Linked DNA regions of Pelodiscus sinensis. The protein of the gene in region 3 purifies or fractionates together with the protein of the main gene of each other region. This does not show direct contact. Links are inferred from orthologs where the notes say so. Each region holds a gene or a part of one and is shown on either strand. Other genes may lie near its edges.

The links. Proteins that work in one complex are often made in the same cells at the same time.
Region 1: the proteins of DCP1B (region 3) and DDX6 purify together in Homo sapiens (affinity purification with mass spectrometry; 6 studies listed by BioGRID and IntAct, counting the BioPlex papers as one, with this or other methods). This does not show direct contact. The link is inferred for Pelodiscus sinensis from reciprocal best matches to the Homo sapiens genes DCP1B and DDX6.
Region 2: the proteins of DCP1B (region 3) and EDC4 purify together in Homo sapiens (affinity purification with mass spectrometry; 3 studies listed by BioGRID and IntAct, with this or other methods). This does not show direct contact. The link is inferred for Pelodiscus sinensis from reciprocal best matches to the Homo sapiens genes DCP1B and EDC4.

What each region holds. Positions count from the first base shown.
Region 1 is NC_134736.1:597,366-604,578, reverse strand, and holds the start of DDX6 (putative ATP-dependent RNA helicase DDX6), read right to left. Parts: upstream 3,007-7,213; 5' UTR 2,867-3,006; exon of another isoform or gene 2,808-2,866; intron 2,794-2,807; exon of another isoform or gene 2,570-2,793; intron 2,078-2,569; exon of another isoform or gene 1,932-2,077; intron 1-1,931.
Region 2 is NC_134722.1:46,923,257-46,930,694, reverse strand, and holds the start of EDC4 (enhancer of mRNA-decapping protein 4), read right to left. Parts: upstream 3,007-7,438; 5' UTR 2,927-3,006; coding exon 2,851-2,926; intron 1-2,850. UniProt on the Homo sapiens protein: In the process of mRNA degradation, seems to play a role in mRNA decapping. Component of a complex containing DCP2 and DCP1A which functions in decapping of ARE-containing mRNAs. Promotes complex formation between DCP1A and DCP2.
Region 3 is NC_134711.1:109,170,476-109,177,345, forward strand, and holds the start of DCP1B (mRNA-decapping enzyme 1B), read right to left. Parts: upstream 3,013-6,870; 5' UTR 2,838-3,012; coding exon 2,682-2,837; intron 1-2,681. UniProt on the Homo sapiens protein: May play a role in the degradation of mRNAs, both in normal mRNA turnover and in nonsense-mediated mRNA decay. May remove the 7-methyl guanine cap structure from mRNA molecules, yielding a 5'-phosphorylated mRNA fragment and 7m-GDP.

The DNA of each region.
Region 1 (7,213 bases), on a different chromosome or scaffold from region 3:
TTTATTTCATTCAAGAAAGGTAAACAACTACTTACAATACTTCAGTTTTCTTATCTGAGACAGCAAATCTGACAAGTCTTAGAGACTCCCTTCTTAATGTTTTAATTGTGCTAACACCTTGAGATAAATTCAAAAAAGTTTTCCTCACTAAAACGCCTGCCTGTTGCCCTCAGAAAATAAGTACATACAAAACCAATTCAAAATTTAGTAAAAAAACATCAAATGGTCTGGTAGCATTTTATAGATTAACAAAACATGTAGATGGTATTATGAGCTTTCGTGGGCACAAACCACGTCTTCAGATGACCGGGGTGGAGAAGTGATGACTGAAGAAGTGGACTGTGCCCATGAAAGCTCATACCACCATCTACATGTTTTGTTAGTCTATAAAGTGCTACCACAGACCATTTCTTGGTGTTTTTTTCCCCCTGTACAGACTAACTCAGCTACCCCCTGAAGCTTCAAAATTTAGTGACAATATTGGGAAAGTATTATAATGGTTTGATATTTTGTTTGCTAAACACAATGACTTGTACTCTTCATAGAAAATTACTGAAGTGCAACTACAAGATAAGTTACTGTGAAGTAACCCTAGAACTGTTACTAACAAGTCTACCTCCCTCACAAGGAAGGGGGAAAGGATTTACAGGCTTGACTTACAGTATCACCACTACAAAGAACTGCACTGTATAAAATAAATGCAAAACAAAAGGTGGCATTAGCTGATCACTGAACTCTTATAAAGAAGTTGTTTACCTGATACCTTGTCCATACCAAGGTTAAAAAAAAATCACCTATATAATTCAAATACTAACATTCCTTAAAGGGACATTATCTAGTCACTTTCAAGAGCAATTCTAAGTAGTTTTAAGTACAACAACTTGCTTCTGAGTCTGACAATGTCTATTGTTTTACAACCAAGTTGTCTTTTTTTTAAATCAGCCCTCAGTTCCTTTACTTGTATTTCACAGTAAAGACAAAGCAAGTGACTATGGAAGGGAAACCGTTAAAATTAGTATGTGAAGTACTGCTAACTGCACAAAACCATGTTTAAATACCTCCTCCAATATCTGTCAAGTCATTTTACATGGCACACCTTTTGAGGTGAAATATTTTGACACAGATCATTTTCAAGTACCTTTAATTTACAGGGACACTTATACATCCAAAAATCATTTTAATGAAATGCTTTAAGTATTAGAATGTTTAAGAAGTCAAGAGAAACACTATTTGGATTTAGACATTTCCCTTCTATGTTACTACTAAAAAAAAAATTGAAACATATAGCTAGTCCAGAAGCAGCAAACATATAAACAGGGAGTTACAGCAAGAAGTAAATTCAATTTTGAATTTTTTAAGGCTCTGTTTAATAACCTACTTTCATGCTATTTTACCTGACAACATGCCTTTGCACTCCTTAACACTCACAGGAAAAACATTAGATTATGTTATAGAGTAAAACAATATTTAATAAATCTGAACAAACCTAAAACTTCAGGGACAGCTTAAAAAATTAGTGCTCTTTACTAGCAAACCTCAACATTCCCCCTCCCCCTTTTCTAAGCATTTCCTTTCTTCATTTTGACCACGTATGCAGGACTCTGGAAGCCGCTGCCACTAACTATATTATTTCCACTCCCCTTTCTGCAGTGAACATCCTCCTTTTCCCTGGGAGCTTTGATTTTTGCCTAAAGATAGCACATAACGCTACAAGAAAAAACAAGACTGGGAGGGGACACTTTTTAAGAGATCCCAGGAATCACTCTTTCGTTGTTTATAAAAACTACTCCCTTGCATCTTAGCAAAGACCTCATTAGTAGGCGGAGGTGAGCTGCCCCAGAACCGACCTACATCTCCTCTAACCATAAAAGCCCTCACTGAAGCTCCAATCAGTTCAGAAATGTCAGCCATAGTCTCATCCTTCTACACACCAGAAAAAGGTCTCGTTTTCCGAACCAAACAATGGAGCGCAGCAGCTTAAGCATTTATTGCTTCCCTCCCACTTCGCCATGGGGCTCAGCCCGGGACTGACAGCGCTTCACCACCAAGCTTTGGTGTGAGTCCGATGCAGTTTCTGCAGTGCTTAGGAAAGGGGGCGATTCCGAAAGGCGGGCGCCCGGCCTAACAGCAAACGTCCATAAACCCTAGAAATGTATCTGCGCAACATCAGCGGGCACCATCCGTCGGGCAAACAAAAGACACCCCCGGCCGCTCGGGCCCCAGACCCCGCGGGGGCGGTGCTCCCCTGACGCCCAACCCGCCCCCCGGGCAGGGCCCCTAAAAGATACAACAGCGCCGCCCCCCCCCGCCCTCAAGGTCAGGCTGCCAGATACAAGCCTCCCCCCCACATGACCCCCGCACACACCGCAGCGCCGCCCCCCGCAGCAGCGATCGCCCGCGCCCTGGGTAACACGCCCCTCCGGGGCAGCGAACACACCGGTCTCCATGCGGGGGGGGTGAGACCCGCCAGACCCCTCCCCGCACTGCGCCCCCCGCCGCCTCCGGGCTCGAGTGGCCGCCCGCAAGGCCAGGCCCAGCCCCTAGTGCGGGGCAAGGCCGCAGGCCTCACCAAAGAAGCGGCCGCCCAGGCCCGCGCGGCCCCATGCCCTGTCCCCAAAGCCGCTCCTCGGGAGCCTGCTCCCCGCCGCCGGCTGGGCTGCCCGCTCTCCCAGCGCTAAGGAACCGCTCACTTGCCCGCTTGGTGCCTTGTTATGGCGATTCGACGCTCCAAGATGGCGGCTTCCTTCTTCCTCCCGTGCGCCCTCCCCCTCCCGGCCGGGCCGCGGCCAGGCCCCGCCCCCCGTTACCTCAGCGCTGCTGCGAGCCGCCGGGACGCCTCGCGCCGTCACCCCGCCCCCGCCGTCACCTGCACTCAGCCGCTCCCGCGAGGAGCCGCAGCGCCGGCCGGCCATGCCCGCCTGGTCAGGCGGAAGGGAGGGGGCTGCCGCAGGGCTCGACCCGCCTCCGCTCAGCCGCGGCCGTTTCCCTGCCGCGCTCTTCGCCGCCCGCTTCTTCTACAGGGGCCCCCAGCACCGCCTCCTCCCTCCGCGTCACAGAAGCTGCCGCGCGCTTCGCGGCCTCCCGCCCTCCGCTTCCCCCCGGCTGCGCGCGCGGCTCCCTCGTGGGCTCCGTCTAACTGAGGCGCAGCTCGCGCCGTGGCCCCGGCTCCCGTGAGCGGCTGAACGCCCGCCTCAGGCCGGGACCGTGCAGAGCCAGGCGCTGCCCGCGGCCCTGCGACGCTCACAGCAAAGTCGGTCCCGAGAGAGACTCGAGCCTCGTCTAGGGACCCTGGGTGAGACGGTGCCGACTGGACACGCAGGGGTTGTTCCCCTCCCCCGGGAGGAAAGTGTCAAAATTAGCGACTGCCGGGAATAACTTTCTGAACAACCCTTCGACTTAGTAATTTACGGAGTCTCAGCCAGCACGCGAGGAGGAGCTGACAGCGTGCTCTTTCTGTTCTTCATTACAAACGAACAGTTGTGGCGGCAAATAGGTTTTACAAATGATATTTCAAGTTTTGCTGCCCTCATAATATAACACTGTATTAAATCTCTGCTGGAAAAAATATTGAACATCAATGGCAAAAAATAATATGGAAACAGTTGAAGGTGAATGAAAAAAAGTTTTAAATCAGATTATTTTAAAAAGAAAATTGAGTTTTTTAACAACACACATCTGCATAATAGAAAATGGTAATTTAGTAGACAAAAGCTTGAATATATTCCCGAAGTAATTATCCTTTATACTCAAATTTGTATGTCCATCTCTCTCATATCTGTATTTATTCTTACATGGGTTAGCACTTAGCTGTTCTGCTCAAGGGAAACATTTTCTCCATGCCTTCCTTTTATGCTCTCTCACTTAACCAAATAGTATTTTGTTAATTATTTAGCTGCACTGTTCCTTTTAAACCATTATTTACTAAGATACCCTCGCATCATTAATAAAGTACCAAACAATTTAACAGTCAAACGATTTTTAATTTTGCATGACAGGGCCCCAGAAGAAGCTTCTGAAGACAGCAGGGAATACAGGAAAAGCAAGTTTGTAAGTACAGTCAGGGCTTAATTTAGAATCAGGTGACCTAGGTAACTTCCAGGGGGGCCGGGTGCTTTTTTTTGTTGTTAGTTGCAAAAGGGAAAATAGAATGCTAAACACAGGTACTCTGTATGTGGATTCATTTTTTTTACTAACCTCCTAGAATGTTCTGGATCTTTTGTAGAATCTTGTTTTAACCTTCCAGACTTTCTGATAACTGCATTTTCCTCAAACCTCCTAGAAGTTGTCAGACATGCCCTTATGGGTGTATATAAGGGGCAGGGCATTGCCAGTCAACCTTATATGACCAATAAAGCACACGTGCCACCCATGCTCCGAAGTTGTGAAGTGGGGTACAAATGCAAAAAAAAAAAGTTTAACGATTGGAAAGGGGCACTAAAGACATCCCTTGTTTGGGGTGCCATTTCGTCAAAGACTGGCACTGCGTACTTCTGTGGTCACCAACCCGTCAATCGCAATTGACTGGTCAATTGGGAGGGCTCAACCAGTTGATCACAAGGCGTTCAGGGGGGCCCCCCATTTCACTCCACCCCCAAGAAGCCCCACTACCTTCCTCTAGTAACAATGGAGGTAGTTCCGGCTTCCTGTGGGGTGGAAGGAAGTCCAGCAGCTGTGCGCCACTTCAGGATTTCAGGAAGTGCGCTGGCTGCTCCCTCTCCCCCAAACAGCCGGCGTGGCACCACAACCCAGGTCTGTGGTGTGCCAAGGACTTGCTGGGGGGAAATCCCCAGAGGAGGTGCATGCCGGGGCTTCCCTCCTCTTTGAGGGGGAGGAGTCCCCAGAGGAGGCACGCGCCGGAGCTTTCCTCCTCTGTAGGAGTGGGGAGGAGTCCTGGGAGGAGGCGCCTGCTGGAGCTTCCCTCCTCTTCTGGGGGGTGGGGGGTAGGAGTCCATTCCCAGAGGAGGTGCACCGGGCAGGGGGAGAGGGGATAGGAGTCCCAGGGGGAGGCATGTGTCGCAGACTCCCTGCCCCCACTGGCACTCTGCCTCAGCACCCACTAGCACCTTTCCCCAGTACCATGTCCCCTGCTCCCACCAGCACAGTTGGAGCCATATTAGTGAGGCTTGGGGAGGGTTTTGGAGGAATTTTTTTTTTGCATCTCACTTGTGGCCCCAACTGACTTTTCTGTGGGTCACTGATCCCTGACTCAAAACAGGTTCCCTGCCCTTCTCATAAATAAAGACAATGCTGAAACTTTTTTGTGTTTGACATAATATTTTATTTAAAAATGAAGCCTGGCCAACAACCCTCCAATTGTGGCCAAGCCCCCATTTGGCCACAGCATCATAACACTCCTGCACCTCCACCCCACCCCAGACCCTAGATCTGAGCCTATCATATACTGGAGCTCCCTGTCCTGAGCCTCTCACATCCCCAAACTCCTGCACCCCCACATCCTCAGTCTTCCGCCACGACACTTCTGCACCATCCACACACTGCAAATCTGTGTCCTGGTGCCATCATACTCCCAACCTCCCTGCCCTGAGCCCCTCACATACCTCAACCCAAACTCCTGTACCCTCACATCCACAAGCCTATGGCTAGCTCAGTACCCCAACCATCCACCTGACCCAAAAACTTCCCAACCTGGAGCCAGCATCCCCATCTCCACCTCCTCCTGCATATAAATTACCTCCCAGAGCTTGCACGTCTCACCCCTTCCCACACCCAAATCCCTCATTCCCACCCTAGAGCCCACACATCCTGTCAACCCAGTGAGGGTACAGCTAGACTGCCGGAGTTTTTCTGGGACTCCAGAGGTATCCCGGAAAAAACTCTTCCGCATCCGGGGACGCATTTGTTCTTCCACTTTTTTTAGTGGAAGAGCAACCATGCTCTTTCGGTAACCCCTTTATTCCTCATTCCACAAGGATATTTGGCCCAATCTAGATAGCAAAATGTTGGAAAAACCTCTTCATACAGAAGAATTTAAAAAAACAAAGCAGCAGTGTAGCCATACCCTGAGTGTGTATAAGGGCTGGGGATAGCAAGTGATGGAGAGGAGAACAGAGAGGGCGGGGCTTTAAGGAAGGGGTGGGGGTCTTGGGAGAAGGATGGGGCGGTAGATCTTGGCTTGTTCTGACATTTAAAAAGTGATCTTGGGGGGTAAAAAGGTTGGAGACCACTGGTTTACTGTATCTGAAATTTTCACCCATAGAGTTTTGTTAAGGGTGAACCTCCAGCATAAGTTCAGTAGGTGCTGTTGGACCTTGCAGTTCTATACCAGTGATGTGCTGGAGAAAACTTTTAGGATCTCTTTCTATTATTCTGACACCAAAGGGCAAGGAGAATTGATTTTCTTGCCTTGGAGGGCATTACCCTCTCTCTGGATATTGTTAACATATTCCCACACTAGGTATAATTTATTAGTGCAGTAGGGATGTTAAAATGTGTTTATTTAAGTAAAATGTAACAGGTGAAAGTTTCAACAGTTACTTGTGGGGGGAGAGGTAGCTTCCGCCTCCCCCCACACTGCTGCCAAGAGGGTTTTTCTAGCACAAGAAGGGGCAGTGTAGACAGCTCCTTGTGGTGCAAGAGCCTCTCCTGCAAAATTGGTGGCTTATTAGGTATGCAAATGAGGCTCGGGGATATTCCACACAGCCTCATTTGCATATTTCTCACGCAAGAAGCCGCGAGTGTAGACATAGCCCTGGAGGAAGTAAATGAAGTTCTTTTGAGGAAGTAAATGAAGATGTAATGATAATCTCTGGTGTATGCCAGAGGTACAGCCACCTGGGATCTTCCTATATAGGCTCCCGTTCCTAGCAGATAAAAAAGAGGAACGGACTGGTCAGACCATTAATCCAACTCTGTTCACCAGAACTACATTTCCCTCTCTGGCCACCATCACTCTAATTTCCAAAACTGTAATGGAGTCTTTTTCTAAATGTATAGGTTTTCTAAGTTGATGTGGAGCCCAAATACTGGGATTTAGAATAAACAGACTTTTTGTTCTTATTGAAATAAAGTTGCTGTTTCAGTTATCTTTTAAATGTGCAGTTCATGATATCATGATATCTCAATTAGAATTCTTACAATGTGAAGAGCTTATTAATATTTACAGGTGTTACAAGTCACAGTCTATACTCTCAAAGGCAAAATGGAAAAACTGACTAAATAGCACTTGGGAGTTTCCATTTGTAATGTATATGGT
Region 2 (7,438 bases), on a different chromosome or scaffold from region 3:
GAAGTCCGTTAAGAAGCTCAAGCCAACCTTCATCTGACCTCTACAGTCAGAGCCCTGCAAATCTGCAACTATCCACGGCTCACCTTTGAGGATACAGACGTGGATACAAATTTTGAATCCATACAAGGCTCTACCGATAGTCCCTTGCTCACCCTTCCTCTCCCGACAACCCCCACCTGCCCTCTTACTACAGCAAAGAAATAGGGATGTAATAGTGCTGTTGATTAACTGATTAACTATAGACTACACGCATCCCCCACCCCCCGCCAGTAAATTTTTTAGCAGGCTGGCCAGCAGCCGGCTCATTCCTCCCTTGCAACGGGTCTGGGACCTACGCCTGCTGCGGCTCTGCATTTAAAGTGTACTAGGAGCCAGGTGGGCAGCAGACCCATTCAGTTCCGGCTTGTGCTGAGCTCAGCTCCCTCCTGGACAGGGGCCAGTGCCATCCTGTGCTGCTGCCTCTGTGTCAGAGGCAGCAGCTCGGGGCGACAGGCAGCTGGTCCGTGAGGGGAGCTGGTTTTTAGACTGGCTTCCCTTGAGGACCAGCTCCCGCCTGGCACCCCGCGCCGCTGCCTCTGATACAGAGGCAGCAGTATAGAGTGGCAGGGGGCTCTTCAGGAGTGGGACCAGAGTGCACTGGCTGTCAGCCCCGCCCCCGGATACTACAGAATAGTCCAGTAGCTGATAAGAATTCATGAGGTTACTTGACTATTCAATTAACCGATAGTTACCATCCCTACTCCTACAGCCCACAGGTGGAGATTAATAAGCATCCTTTGGCTCATACCAGGAAAGCTGAAACAGAAGGCCTCCCTGTACAAACCAGGAGGGCAGTTGTTTCCAGATTACTTGGACAATCGGAAGCTTTTGCACGTCAGGGACACTAATGGTCAGCTCTACACCACTAAACAGAAGCGTTGTACAGAGAGCGAATCCAGCAGGGTTGACTGTGCAGTCAGCCCACCCCCACGTGCCTACTACCATCTTCCTAAAATGGTGCGGGAATTAGATGAGCACATCAGACGACGCCCGCAGTCGCTCGAAGGCCCTAGCTGGCAGCTGACTATTAGAAAACAGAAGCCGATACAACCCTTTGCCAAACCAGCGCTCTTCACTTACATACCCAACCAGAGACTGAGGAGAGAACGTAGCTGGAGAGGCTAGAAACCTGATGAGATTACGCCGGATCAGGCGTTTGGGAACCGTCCCTCGCTGATTTTAACATTCACAGGATGCAGAGTCACTCGCATGGGCAGCCACATCTGCACCTGCACAACGCAAAGCTATCAAAGAGCCACATTGGGACCGCGAGGAGCTCCGCTCCGACAGGGCTCCGACGTGAGCGTCTCAGCTGCACAAAGGAAGCTTCACTGGGCCTCCCACACCCCATGGCAAGCGCAACACACACACACGCTTCGCCTCGCTGCGGCCCACCCCAGCAGGTGAACAGGGGTCCCGGGGCTGCAGGGAGGCAGACTGAGGGCAACCTTGATTTCAGTCTGGCGCCAAGGCCCACAGAAACCCTGGCTCTGTATGGATCAAGACAGCACCCAATATGCTGGGATGGAGTCAGAGTCTAAGCACACGGTGCCCAGCCCAGGAGTGGAGCAGCGCAGGCCAGGAATCCAAGGGTGCTCCTGTCCCAGACGCCACGATACCGAGTACTACCCAGATGTTGGAACTGTTTCCCAGAGAGGCGTGTGGCTGCCGTAGCATGGCTAGGCAGAGTTTAGCTGGAAATGGCTGGGGCTTTGGAGGTGCAGCAGGTGCAGATGTACAGTTAAGATCTTATTAATTATTGTGATCTCATTTGTATTACTGTAGCACCTAGAAGCCTTCACTGCATGCATCAGGATCCCTCACTGTGGTAGGCACAGAACGACGAAACAACCCCCGCCCCGAGGAGCTTACAAATGCCATATAAAATGAGAGAGAACAGCGGTATAATACAGACGGGGGAGGGGAGGGGGAGGAGGTACAAGGAAAACCATGAGACAAGCAAGGCTCTCTGCACTCCAGCAGCCTTGCAGTCACCAAGTTCCCTGCTGAGAGTCAAGGAGAGATTTGACGGCAGGATAATGAGGTCGCTGAATGGGGTGTTCAAAGGGAGCACCCCCCCCCCCCCGGTGGTGATGTGGGGAGAAGCACAAAGGTGTCTGAAAATGTAACCTGCCCGCGATGGGAACGGGCCTGGCAGGACTGGACGGTGGCGGGGGGGGGCTGGGAGGGTGGGGGGGGGGCTGTCAGGAGTGGACAGTGGCGGGGGGGGGGGCTGGCAGAACTGGACGGTGGCGGGGGGGGGGGCTGGGAGGGTGGGGGGGGGCTGTCAGGAGTGGACAGTGGCGGGGGGGGGGCTGGCAGAACTGGACGGTGGCGGAGGGGGGCTGGGAGGGTGGGGGGGGCCTGTCAGGAGTGGACAGTGGCGGGGGGGGGGGCTGGCAGAACTGGACGGTGGCGGAGGGGGGCTGGGAGGGTGGGGGGGGGCCTGTCAGGAGTGGACAGTGGCGGGGGGGGGGGGCTGGCAGAACTGGACGGTGGCGGGGGGGGGGGCTGGGAGGGGGCCTGTCAGGAGTGGACAGTGGCGGGGGGGGGGGCTGGCAGAACTGGACGGTGTTGGGGGGGGGCCGGGCAGGACTGGGGGGGACACGCGGGGCTGGCTAGGCGGAAGATCCAGGGTCTCCCCGCACGAGGCCGAGCCCGAGCCCGGGGGGGGGCGGTCCCGGCGCGCTCCCGTCTCCCAGAGGGGAGCGAGCTCCCGCCTCGGCCCCTGCGGCAGCCCCGCCCCCGGCGCGCGCGCACGGAGGCGGGGAGGGAGGGGGCGCGGCGGGGCGGGGCCGGGCGCGCCCTCACCCGCCGGCCGGTCCAGCTTGAGGATGTCCCGCAGGTGCTGGGTCGCGTCCTCGATGTCGATGCTGGCGGAGGCCATGGGCCCGCTTCCCGCTCTGCCGCCCCGCTCCCGAGCCCGGCCCGCCGACTCCACTTCCGCTTCCGGTCCGGCCGCCGCCGGCCCCCGCGGAAACCAGCCCCGGGCAGCCGCGTTCCGGCCGAGCCAGGGCCGGGGGCGAGACCCCCCCCCCCCCGAGCGCCATGTGGGAGGGGCGCGGCCCGCAGGTGCTGGGCGGGCTGTTGCTATGGGGCAGGGGGTATTGTTTGGGGTGGGGTGTTGTCAGACGGGGGCTGTTGCTATGGAGTGGGGTGTTGTCAGACGGGGGCTGTTGCTATGGAGTGGGGTGTTGTCAGACGGGGGGCTGTTGCTACGGGGCAGGGGGTATTGTTTGGGGTGGGGTGTTGTCAGACGGGGGCTGTTGCTATGGGGTGGGGTGTTGTCAGACGGGGGCTGTTGCTATGGAGTGGGGTGTTGTCAGACGGGGGGCTGTTGCTACGGGGCAGGGGGTATTGTTTGGGGTGGGGTGTTGTCAGACGGGGGCTGTTGCTACGGGGCAGGGGGTATTGTTTGGGGTGGGGTGTTGTCAGACGGGGGCTGTTGCTATGGGGTAGGGGTATTGTTATGGGGTGGGGTGTTGTCAGACGGGGGCTGTTGCTACGGGGCAGGGGTATTGATATGGTGGGTGAGGGACTGTTATGGGGTGGGGGTCCCATTAATGGGGGGCTGTTCTGGGGGTGCCATTACATAGGGCAGGGTAGGGGGCTGTTACGGGTGCAGACGACCTTGGGAGAAGAGGGGTTGACGGTATTGTTGCGGGGTGAAGCTATTGGGAGTCGGGGGGACAAGCTCTTGCCTCGTTTCCCTCCTGTGCAGGTGCCGTGCTGGGGCTCCTACCGCACTGCTCCTGGGAGAGATGTTGCATCCAGGCTCCCACCTGGAGGCAGCTGCTGTACTGCCCCCGTGGAGACGTGATCTGCAGCTCACTCGTGTTAATCCAAATCTCTGCACTGGGCCTTGCACTGCGAAAGCAGCACCTGCCTGGACGGGCCTTGGCCCATCCAGCTCAGGGGTCTTTCAAGACCAGCAGCGGCAGCACCTAAGCCCCTTGGGGAAATTCTGGTACCATGTCAAAGAGAATGTTGGGTCCTTTCCTTGCTTCTGAAGGGCCACTCATGCATCTAGGGCACATGGGGACCTAGGCCATCTGACTCAGGCTGGGGCCATAAGATTGCAGCGTAGCCCCACAGGCTTCAAGTGGAGTCTGCACTCTGGTACCCTCCCCACCCCCCGGGGACTCAAAAGCCGGGCTCCAACCCAAACCCAACTGTCCACATTGCTGTGCAACAGCCCTACAGCACAAAACCCTGAGTCTGCTGCCCCGGGCCAGCCACAGCTCTTAGTGCACTGCAGACATACGCACAGGATTTGGCTGAACTAGGGAGAGAAGTCCCAGGGTTTCCTCCCTGGTTTCTACCTTGACTTAACCATGAGAATTTCTCCGCTGCAGTCCCATCTTGTCTTGATTTCGCTGGTCAGGGAGCAACTAGTTCAGTGATTTTCAAACTTTTTTTCTCATGACCCAGTCGAAGAAAATTATTGATGCCCGCAACTCAACTGTGGAGAGTAAGAGGGGGCTCTGGCTTTGGGGTATTGGGCTGGGGCAGGAGGGGCTTACCTTGAGCGGCTCCCGGTCAGCGGTGCAGCAGGGGTGCTAAGTCAGCTTCCTGCCTCTCCTGGCTCTGAATCATCAACTCACAGGGTTGAAAGAGAAAAATCAAGCCCAGTCCCTTGCCCAAAGCAGGACCAACCCCAACTAAATCATCCCAGCCAGGGCTCTGTCAAGCTGGGACAACCTCTAGGGATGGAGATTCCACCCCCTCCCTAGGGAACCCATCCCAGCGCTTCTCCACCCTCCTAGGGAAATAGTTTTTCCTAATATCCAACCTAGACCTCTCCCACTGCAACTTGAGCCCATTGCTCCTTGTTCTGCCATCTGCCCCCACTGAGAACAGCCTCTCTCCATCCCCTTTAGAATCCCCCTTCAGGGAGCCGAAGGCTACCAAATCCCCCCTCACTCTCTGCTTCTGCAGACTAAACAAGCCCAGAACCCTCAGCCTCGCCTCGTAGCCCCCCTACTTATATTGGTTGCTCTCCGCTGGACTCTCCCCAATGTGTCCACATCCTTTATGTAATGGGGGGCCCAGAACTAGATGCAATACTCCAGTTGTGGCCTCACCAGTGCTGAATAAAGGGGAATAATCACTTGTCTAGATCTGCTGGCAATGCTCCTCCTAATGCAGCCTAATATGCCATTAGCCTTCTTGGCTATAAGGGTACACTATTGACTCATATCCAGCTTCTCATCCACTGCAATCCCCAGGTCCTTTTCTGCCGAACTGCTACTTAGCCAGTCGGTCCCCAGCCTGTAACTATGCTTGGGATTCTTCCGTCCCAAGTGCAGGACTTCGCACTTGTCCTTGTTGAACCTCATCAGATTTCTTTTGACCAAATCCTTCACTTTGTCTCGGTCACTCTGGACCCTGTCCCAGCCCTCCAATGTATCTACCTCTCCCCTTAGCTTAGGGTCATCTGCAAACTTGCTGACGGTGTGATCCATCCCCTCATCCAGGTTATTAATAAAGATGTTGAACAAAACCAGCCCTAGAATGGATCCTTGGGGCACTCTGCTAGAAACCGACTTCCAGCCAGACATCAAGTCAGCATTCTCTCCACCTTACAGTCCATTTATCCAATCCAGACTTCCTTAACTTGCTGGCAAGAATATTGTGGGAGACTGTTTTAAAAGCTTTGCTAAAGTCGAGGTCTATCACATCCACTGACTTCCCCCTGTCCATAGAGCCAGGTACCTTGTCATAGAATGCAATCAGATTGGTCAGGTATGACTTGGTCTTGGTGAATCCATGCTGACTATTCCCGGTCACTTTCCCCTCTTCCAAGTGCTTCAACATGGATTCTTTGAGAATCCCTTCCATGATTTTTCCAGGGATTGACATGAGGCTGACCGGGCAGTCTGTAGTTCCCTGGATTGTCCTTCTTCCCTTTTTAAAAGATGGGCACCACATATGCCTTTTTCCAAGCACCCGGGACCTCCTTTGATCGCCACAAGTCCTTGCAGAGCCTTTGGAAACATCTGCCAACTTCCTCAGCACCCATGGATGCATTAAATCCAGCCCCCTGGATTTGTGTATGTCTAGCTTTTCTAAATAGTTATCCTGTTCTTTTTCCACTGAGGGCTGCCCATCTCCTTCCTATACTATGTTGCCTAGTACAGTAGTCTGGGCGCTGACCTGGTATGTACTAGGGATGCTAAATTTCGATTAATTAACTAATCAAAGTGTCAATAGGATTTCCATTGACTATTTGATTAGTCGAGAACTGCCACGTTCCGCCTTTGAAACGTCCCCCGCGGGGGCTCTTGTTCATTTCAAAGTGGAAGCACTGGACAGAGCCTGGGGCTGAGGCTCCGTAACAGGGCCGGCCCCGGAGGCACCACTACCATGGCCATGTGGTCTGGAGCTATCCCCAGAGGCTGGAGACACCCGGCCATGGCAGCACCTCCAGGGCCGGCCCCCGACCGCCTGGCCACAGTAGCGGCATCTCCAGGGCTGGCACAATGGCCGTGGTAGTAGCACCTCTGGGGCCAGTCCCAGACTGTGGCACCTCTGGAGTGGCCTGGGGCCACGTGGCTGCAGTGCCTCTGGGGCTGGCCCCAAGCCACATGGCCATGGTAGCAGTGCCTCTGGGGCGGCCTCTGTCTGTGGTGCCTCCAGGACCTGCCCCGGGCTGCAGCACCTCTGGGGCAGCCTGTGCCCATTGGCCCCAGAGGCTGGCCCCAGGCTGTGTGCCTTGGGGCTATCCCTGGATCGCATGGCGGCAGCCATTGTTGCAAGGGGGCACAAAGCCAGGTAAGGTTCTTCCTCATGTCCAGACCCCCCACCCCAATCCCATCACTTCCCCATCCCAAGATCTAGAACCCCTCCCCAAGATCTAGAACCCCCAACTTGCTCCAATCCCCTCCCTTGTCCCTGCTCCTTCCTCCTGGCCACACACCCTACTCCCAGCCTGCTTCTGCACCCTTGTTCCCACCCAGATCCTGCACCCCATTCCTACCTCACTCGCTGGCAGCCCTGTCTCACGCACTGTACTCCTCATTCTTGTCCCTATCCCAGAGCCTAAGGAGGTCCATAAAATCCACTAACTCCAGAACAGTAAATCTGGTCTATGGGAAGCCCAGATTTTTTGGAGGGGAGGTCAGTAACCCCAGGCTCAAAAAGGGTTCCTCACCTCTCCCATAACGAAAACATTGAAACCTGTTGTGTTGGACATAACATTTTACTTTATTTAAAACAAAGTTTGATTAACAGGAGAAAGTTAAAAACACTGGTAGCACTTTATAGACTAATGAAATATGTAGATGGGATCATGAGCTTTTGTGGGCACAGCCCACTTCTTCAGATGACCAGAGTTATGAATTGGGGATATGAAAACTCCAAATAAATAGGAGAGGGGAAGGGGAGAGGAGAGGAGAGG
Region 3 (6,870 bases):
AAAAGCGGCCACTTTGGTGCAAGATCGCACCAATGTAGACACAGCTAAAGAGTTTAAGGTGCTACTAAAGACTATCAAAACATGTAGATGATATCACGAGCTTTCATGGACACAACCCACTTCTTCAGATGACAGGAGTGTGTTGTGTCCCAAAAGCTCATGATACCATCTATATGTTTTGTTAGTTTTTAAGATGCTGCTAGACTATTTGTTGTTTTTTAAGTTTTCCCTGTTACAGACTAACTCGGCTACCCCTTTGAATATATATCTAAGATATCTGTGAGTAACTGGTGGATGTCATGGTGACACACACCTGAACAAGCACACATGACCTCAATATTGGTGCACAAGACAAAACTCACTCCACTCATGGATGGAAAATCTTTAGATTTTCCAAATCCTCTGGAGCAGGGAGGCCTTGGAACCTGCACCTGCCCCAGCAAAATCTCTCCGCTCCAACTGGCTGGTTTCTAGCCAATAGGAGCTGAGAGATTTTGCTGGTGGTGGAGTCAGTGTGTGAAGCCCTCGCTCTCACTCCCACCTCCCCGCAGCACACAGAACCACATGGAACAGCCAGTTGGGGGCTACTGGCAGGCTGGGAAGCCTGTTTGAGTGTGTTGCTGGCCAGAAGCTGCTTAGGTATGCACCTTCTGACCAGAGCCTGCCACTTCACCCCCTTCCAGACCTGCACCTGCTCCTACAGCCATCCCCCAGGTCAGAATCTTCTCCCGAACCCATACCATCTCCCTAACCCTTCACCCCATCCTCTTCCACAGATCACTATTCTCTCCTTCACCCCAACAGTCACTCAGACCCCAAACCCTTTTCGGCACCCCAGTTCCCTACTCTGAGCTCCCTTCTGCACCCAATCTCTATTTCAAACCTGGACCTCCTCCATAGAAAAGTGCAGCCCATGACCACTTACCAAAATCTTGGAGTGGCCCCTCTATCAAAAATTTTTGCTCACCCACAGTCTACATGAGGGGTGGGCAAGATACATCTTGTGGGCTGGATCCAGCCTGTGGACCACTCTACCAGGACCCTCAAGCACACAGCAGCCACTGTTTTAAGCACAGGCCTGCTTTGTGTGGCTCTCTGCTTTGGAGCAACCGGGAGGTTGTGTGTGATTACCCTACCTCCAGCCCAGTCCTCAGCTCCTATTGGCCGGAAACAAGCATCCCATATGTAGACAAGATCTTAAGCATGGGCTTAACTTTAATTGCATGAGAAGTCCCACAAACTTCACCATGCTAAGCACATATTTAAATCCTTTACTAGATCAGGGCTTCTATATCTTAGGAAAATGTGTTATATTTGCTGCTTCTTGAGCATTAGTACCACATCACTGGTAATTTTGAAATTATATGGTGTTCTTCCAAAAACTATACACACTAGGGATATAAAATCTAACCTAATATTTAATTGGTTAACTGACTACGTGAGCTCCCAGCTCTGGGACTGCGACCACCACCAGCTCCCAGCCCTGCTGGGGCAGCCCTCTACCCCACTATTCCCCCCCCCCCCACCTCCTTGAGCAGCTCCTCACCTGCAGCCTATGGGCAACAATTAATTGGTTACCCATTCACATCCTTAGTATACACGCACACCACCCCATAGAGCTATGTTTCTCAACCAGCAGTATGAGTACCCTTAGGGATACTCAAGAGAAGTCAAGGGGGAGGTATGTCAACAACTGAAATTTGGAGAAAACTGAATTTGTTAAGTTTTACAACATTTTATTATTTTTGTACTTTTTACCACCCAAAAATGTCATCACCCGCCTGACTACAAATAAGTTGTTTAAATAAATGCGTTGCAATGGTTAAAAAAAAAAAAGTGTCTGAAAACCGTACGTACTGGGTGTACTTACCCCTTTTTTTAAAAAAAAATTGTATTTTATAAAAAAAAGTTGAGAAACACTGCCATAGAACATTTCAGTGACAATACAGTTTCCATATAATACTGTATTGTACTCATGAACAATGTACATTTACACTATATCCTGGTAAGGGCAAGAACTTGCTTTTAGCAGATGCTGCTGAATAGACACCACTATGAATTTCAAGTTCATTGGCCAGCATGGAAGGGGTGGAAATGAAGGGCCACCGTTTCTTTCTCCCACCTATCCTCTCAACAACTTTTGTTTGGTGCTTAGTTGCAGAATTTGTGCCAGAGAGAACCAACGCCCTTTCTTAAATTGTGGAAACTTTTTACTGTTCCCTGCTTTGGGTTTTCACAGTGGATTTGTGGGCCTTCCTATTAGGAAGGTGAATGGTTTAAACCGCTGAATTGGTGGGGGCTGGAGCAGCTGCCCACCCCTTTAAATCAGTTAACTACTTAAATGGGGTTTTACATCCCTACTTCATAACTGAGCATATTTTATAAGTTAAAGAAAATAGATACACCCCCCTCCCCAATACTTTCAGCCACCACCCCTTCCCCAGACCCTCCAATTCCCGCACGTCCCACGTGTGTGTGTTGGGGGGGGGGCTCCCCGCCTCAAGCTCTCTCCGCGTCGGGGGAGGGAGATCTCCCTCCTGTTTGCCCTGCCCGGCCTCCCCCACTTGTCCATGGAGATGGGGGGGGGGGGAATCTCTAGGTTCCCTCCCGCCACCTGTATGCGTGCGCGCGCGGAGGGGGGGGGTCTCCCCGCTGCCGGCCCGGGGGGGGGTGTCACGCACCCACTCGTTGGCGCGGTGCCCGAAGGTGTAGAGCGCCACCTGGCTGGCCACGTCCACGATGCTGCTGATGTAGGGGTCGTGCCGCTGCAGCGCCGCCAGGCTGATGTCCAGCCCCTTGCCCAGCAGGGCAGCCCCGGCCACCACCGCCGCCGCCATTTTGCCTCCCACAACAACACTTGCGGGGTGCGAGGAGGGCACGACTAATCCAACGCCGAGAGCGAGAGCGAGCCCGGAGCGAGATAACACCGGGCCTGAGTGCTGGGACCCAGGCTCGGTAATCGCGCGCCGAGTTCCCGTTGCTCAGGATTGTTGCCATTAGCAACAGGGTAAAGTCAGGGAAGGTCCGGCCGGGCTCAATATGCGTAACCCAGGGGGCGGGGCCGGAAGGGCGCGCGCCATGGAACGCCCGGCCTCGCGCAGTCCCACGCCTGACATCCCTGTCTCTGCTCAGGGGCAGCTGGGCACACGTGGCCGGGAGCGTAGAGAGACCACAGTATTGCCAGCTGCAACGAATCCCAAATCATGTGTCAGACCTCCTCAAATCACAGCAATGACTCCACAATAATAATAATAATAATAATATTGAGGTTCTTTTGTTTTCTCTAGGGTGGAGTCTTTAGGGTTCAAATTTAACTGATTTACTCCACAACCTGGAAGACTACAGACTTAGGGGTTTTTTTGTGTTTGTTTTAACATGTGAGTTGCCCCGCTGCACTGCTAATTAGGAACTGCTTTCTGTCAGTGCCACCCAGCTGGAGCCAACACCCTGAACCCCCAGTCCCATGTCAGAAACCCTTCCCGCACCCCAACTCCTCTGTGTCTCTATCCCAAGAATTCTGCCCTAAGTCAGAACCACCTTCCATGCTCTACCTCCTTCCCAGACCTCTGATCCTCACCCCAAATCCTCTGCTTAAAGAACCCCATTCCTACAACCTATTGCCTTACCAGACTCTGTACCCCAACCCTTTGCCCTAATCTTGAGCCCACTCCCACATTCTAAACCTCTTGCCCCCAGCCCCGATCTCCCTCTTGAACCCCAAACACCTCATCTGCACTCCATCCCAGAACTTGCACCCCATCCTCATCCTTTCCCACACCTGACCCCCTCATTTCTGCCCCCCTTAGCCACTGCACCCCCATCCGCATAGAGCTGGAGCTGTGAGAGCAATCTCATCGTACTGCAGTGGGAAGCCCTGAGCCTTGAGCCTCCCTCTGACCCCCACAATGGGCTGTGTATGGCCCATGATTTTTTTTCCTGTGGGTATGTTAGAAAAAAGGTTCTCCATCCCTACACAAAGTGAACAATCTATAATTGCTCTCACAAATCAAGTTAGCATGATTTTGCTGGAATTTGTTTATGAAACAAAGTGATTTTTTAGCTTTGAAAATGTCATCTCTCTCTATATAATTTTTTTTCCTGTGGGATGACAGAGTGGCATCAGCATATCACTCATGTCACCCTGCCTTCAGCTCCAGGCCATGATCTCCACCCTCCTGGGGCTCAGATGCTTCGGGCCCCTTTGGCCTTGTGCTGGCAGCAGCCTTAGCTGGGACCGGGCTCCCCTCCCCAACAGCAGGCCCGGGGCTGTCCGGACTGCTCCTCCAAACCTCCATTGCCACCCCCATCCCGACTTCACTGCTCCAAAATCAAACAACTGGAAATGGTAACGTGTTTGATTTCAACATTTCTGAAAGAAAAGTTTTTGACATTTTGAAACAAATGAAATGAACAAAAAGTTTCAACTTTGTTTAGAAGTGGCCTTTCATTTTGAAATTTAGCTAATAACCTAAACCTTCTCCCTAGGTATGGCTGCTTCTCATGTTGTTCTTTCAGGATTGCTTCATCCAACACCTCTGCTCTCTCTGCCTCAGATTCAAGATGCCTACTGTAGCCCCTCTTCCATCTTTGGTGGAGTTAAGTAAGCCCCACCCTCAAAATATAAATTAATTTAGACTTAGTATCTTGGCTACCTTATTTCCCCAGGCTCAGGCTCTCCTCCTTCCTCAAGAATTTAGATGAAGATTGGCTGCACCTCTCCGGAGCCATTCTGATAGAGTCATTTCATGTATATCATCCTTTCAGCACAGTTTTATTACAAATGATCACTAATTGAGTTTACAGTATGATTGGGGAAATATATCCTTGCTGATACCCACAAGTCTATTATTGGAACTTTGTCTGCCTCAAATTCACAATGGTTAAGGATTCCTTAGCAGGTTCAGGACTTGAATAAAAAATAACTCATAGAATTAAACTAGATCCAGTCAATTTTATTCTCAAACTAGAAAAACGTGCAGGAAAAGATGTATAACATCACAATTAGTTACTAGCATCCGTGTATGTGTAATACTACCCCCTGGTGGAATTTGAAAGGCCTTTTTGATGCAAAAGCAGCCCATTTCACTATCTGTTGAGAATTTCTTTTTCAATTCACCGAAAAATAAGATTCTGTATTTTGGTGCTATTGATTTTGAGTATTCTGTTGGGATAAATACCATGTATGAAATGATTAATTACAATAACCACAAGTTGTCATGAATTGCTGACAATTATTTCAATGAGTGACAGCGTGTTGTTTGACCAAGATCACAATTCTTACTTTGCAGAGTTTTGCAATATGATTTTGTTGCCTTAATTCTAGATGTTGTCTTATTCTGAATACTTATTTTAGACACTGTACATTTCACACACACCATCTTCTGTCTTAGGGGTCATCTATATGAAAAAGGTTGATCACTTACGCTAATACAGGTATACTGGTATAACTTCCATCACCGACATGGGCATGGGCATTCTTATTTCAGTGTAAGTGTGTCTCATCTTGGAAATGGATACTAATAATAAAACTAATCTCTTTCATATATTTGTTTTTGGGATATGCTAGTACAGGCAGTCCCCGAGTTACGCGGATCCGACTCCGCAGTTACGAATGGGGATTTTCTCGCCCCGGAGGACTGGAGCGGCGGGACGCCTGGTCCCGCTGCCCGCCTCCTCCGGGGCGAGAAAAGCTGCTCCCCGTCTCCCTGGTCTGCTGGGGGAGCCAGCAGACCAGGGAGACGGGGAGCAAAGCGGCGGAGCACCCGGGGCCGGACCCGCGGCCGCTTCCAGATCAGCTGGAAGCGGCCGCAGGTCCGGCCCCAGGTCCTCCGCCGCTTTGCTCCCCGTCTCCCTGGTCTGCAGACCAGGGAGACGCTGAGCAAAGCGGCGGAGGACCCGGGGCCGGACTGCGGCCCTGATCTGGAAGCGCCGTGGTCCGGCCCGGGTCCTCCGCCGCTTTGCTCCGCGTCTCCCTGGTCTGCTGGGGTGGGGAAGGGGGACGCAGCTAGTGCCCCCCCCCCCCCAGCAGACCAGGGAGACGTGGAGCAAAGCCCGGGGCCTGTGGTAGAGCAGGTGGGGCGCTGCCGGTTGGTCCCGCAGCACTGCTCCTTGGCGCTACTGGACCAATCCAGCAGCACCCCAGCTGCTCTGCCCCAGGAGTCCTGATTCAGCCGCTGCTGATCAGTTTCAGCAGTGGCTGAATCAGGACGCCTGGGGCAGAGCAGCTGGGGTGCTGCTGGGTTCGTCCAGTAGCGCCAAGGAGCGGCCGCGCTACTGGACCAACCCAGCAGCACCCGAGCTGCTCTGCCCCAGGCGTCCCCAAGTTAGCCGCTGCTGAAACTGACCAGCGGCTGACTACAGGAAGCTGCTCTGCCCCGGGCTTCCTGGAATCAGCTGCTGATCAGTTTCAGCAGTAGCTGACTTGGGGATGCCTGGGGTTCTTAAGCTGAATCTGTATGTAAGTCAGAACTGGTGTCCAGATTCAGCCGCTGTTGAAACTGATCAGTTTCAGCAGCGGCTGAATCTGGATGCCAGTTCCGACTTACATTCAGATTCAACTTAAGAACAAACCTACAGTCCCTATCTTGTACATAACCCGGGGACTGCCTGTAATCAAGTTTCTGGAAAACAACACCCAAATTTTTTTCTTCCCACCTATTCCCCAAAATGAAGGTGTTACAAATCTTCAATGCTGTTTCTTTCTCTATATCCAGAAACAAAGATGTCAAACATTGGTAGCTTTCTTCTCCCCCTCAACAGTTCCGTAAACACAAAATCAGAAATCACTGCACTTCCTTAACATTTCTATGAGGTTTAACTTTAGTTTGTTTGCTATTTTTTGAGTTATAATACCTAGCCTAACCCAAGGTT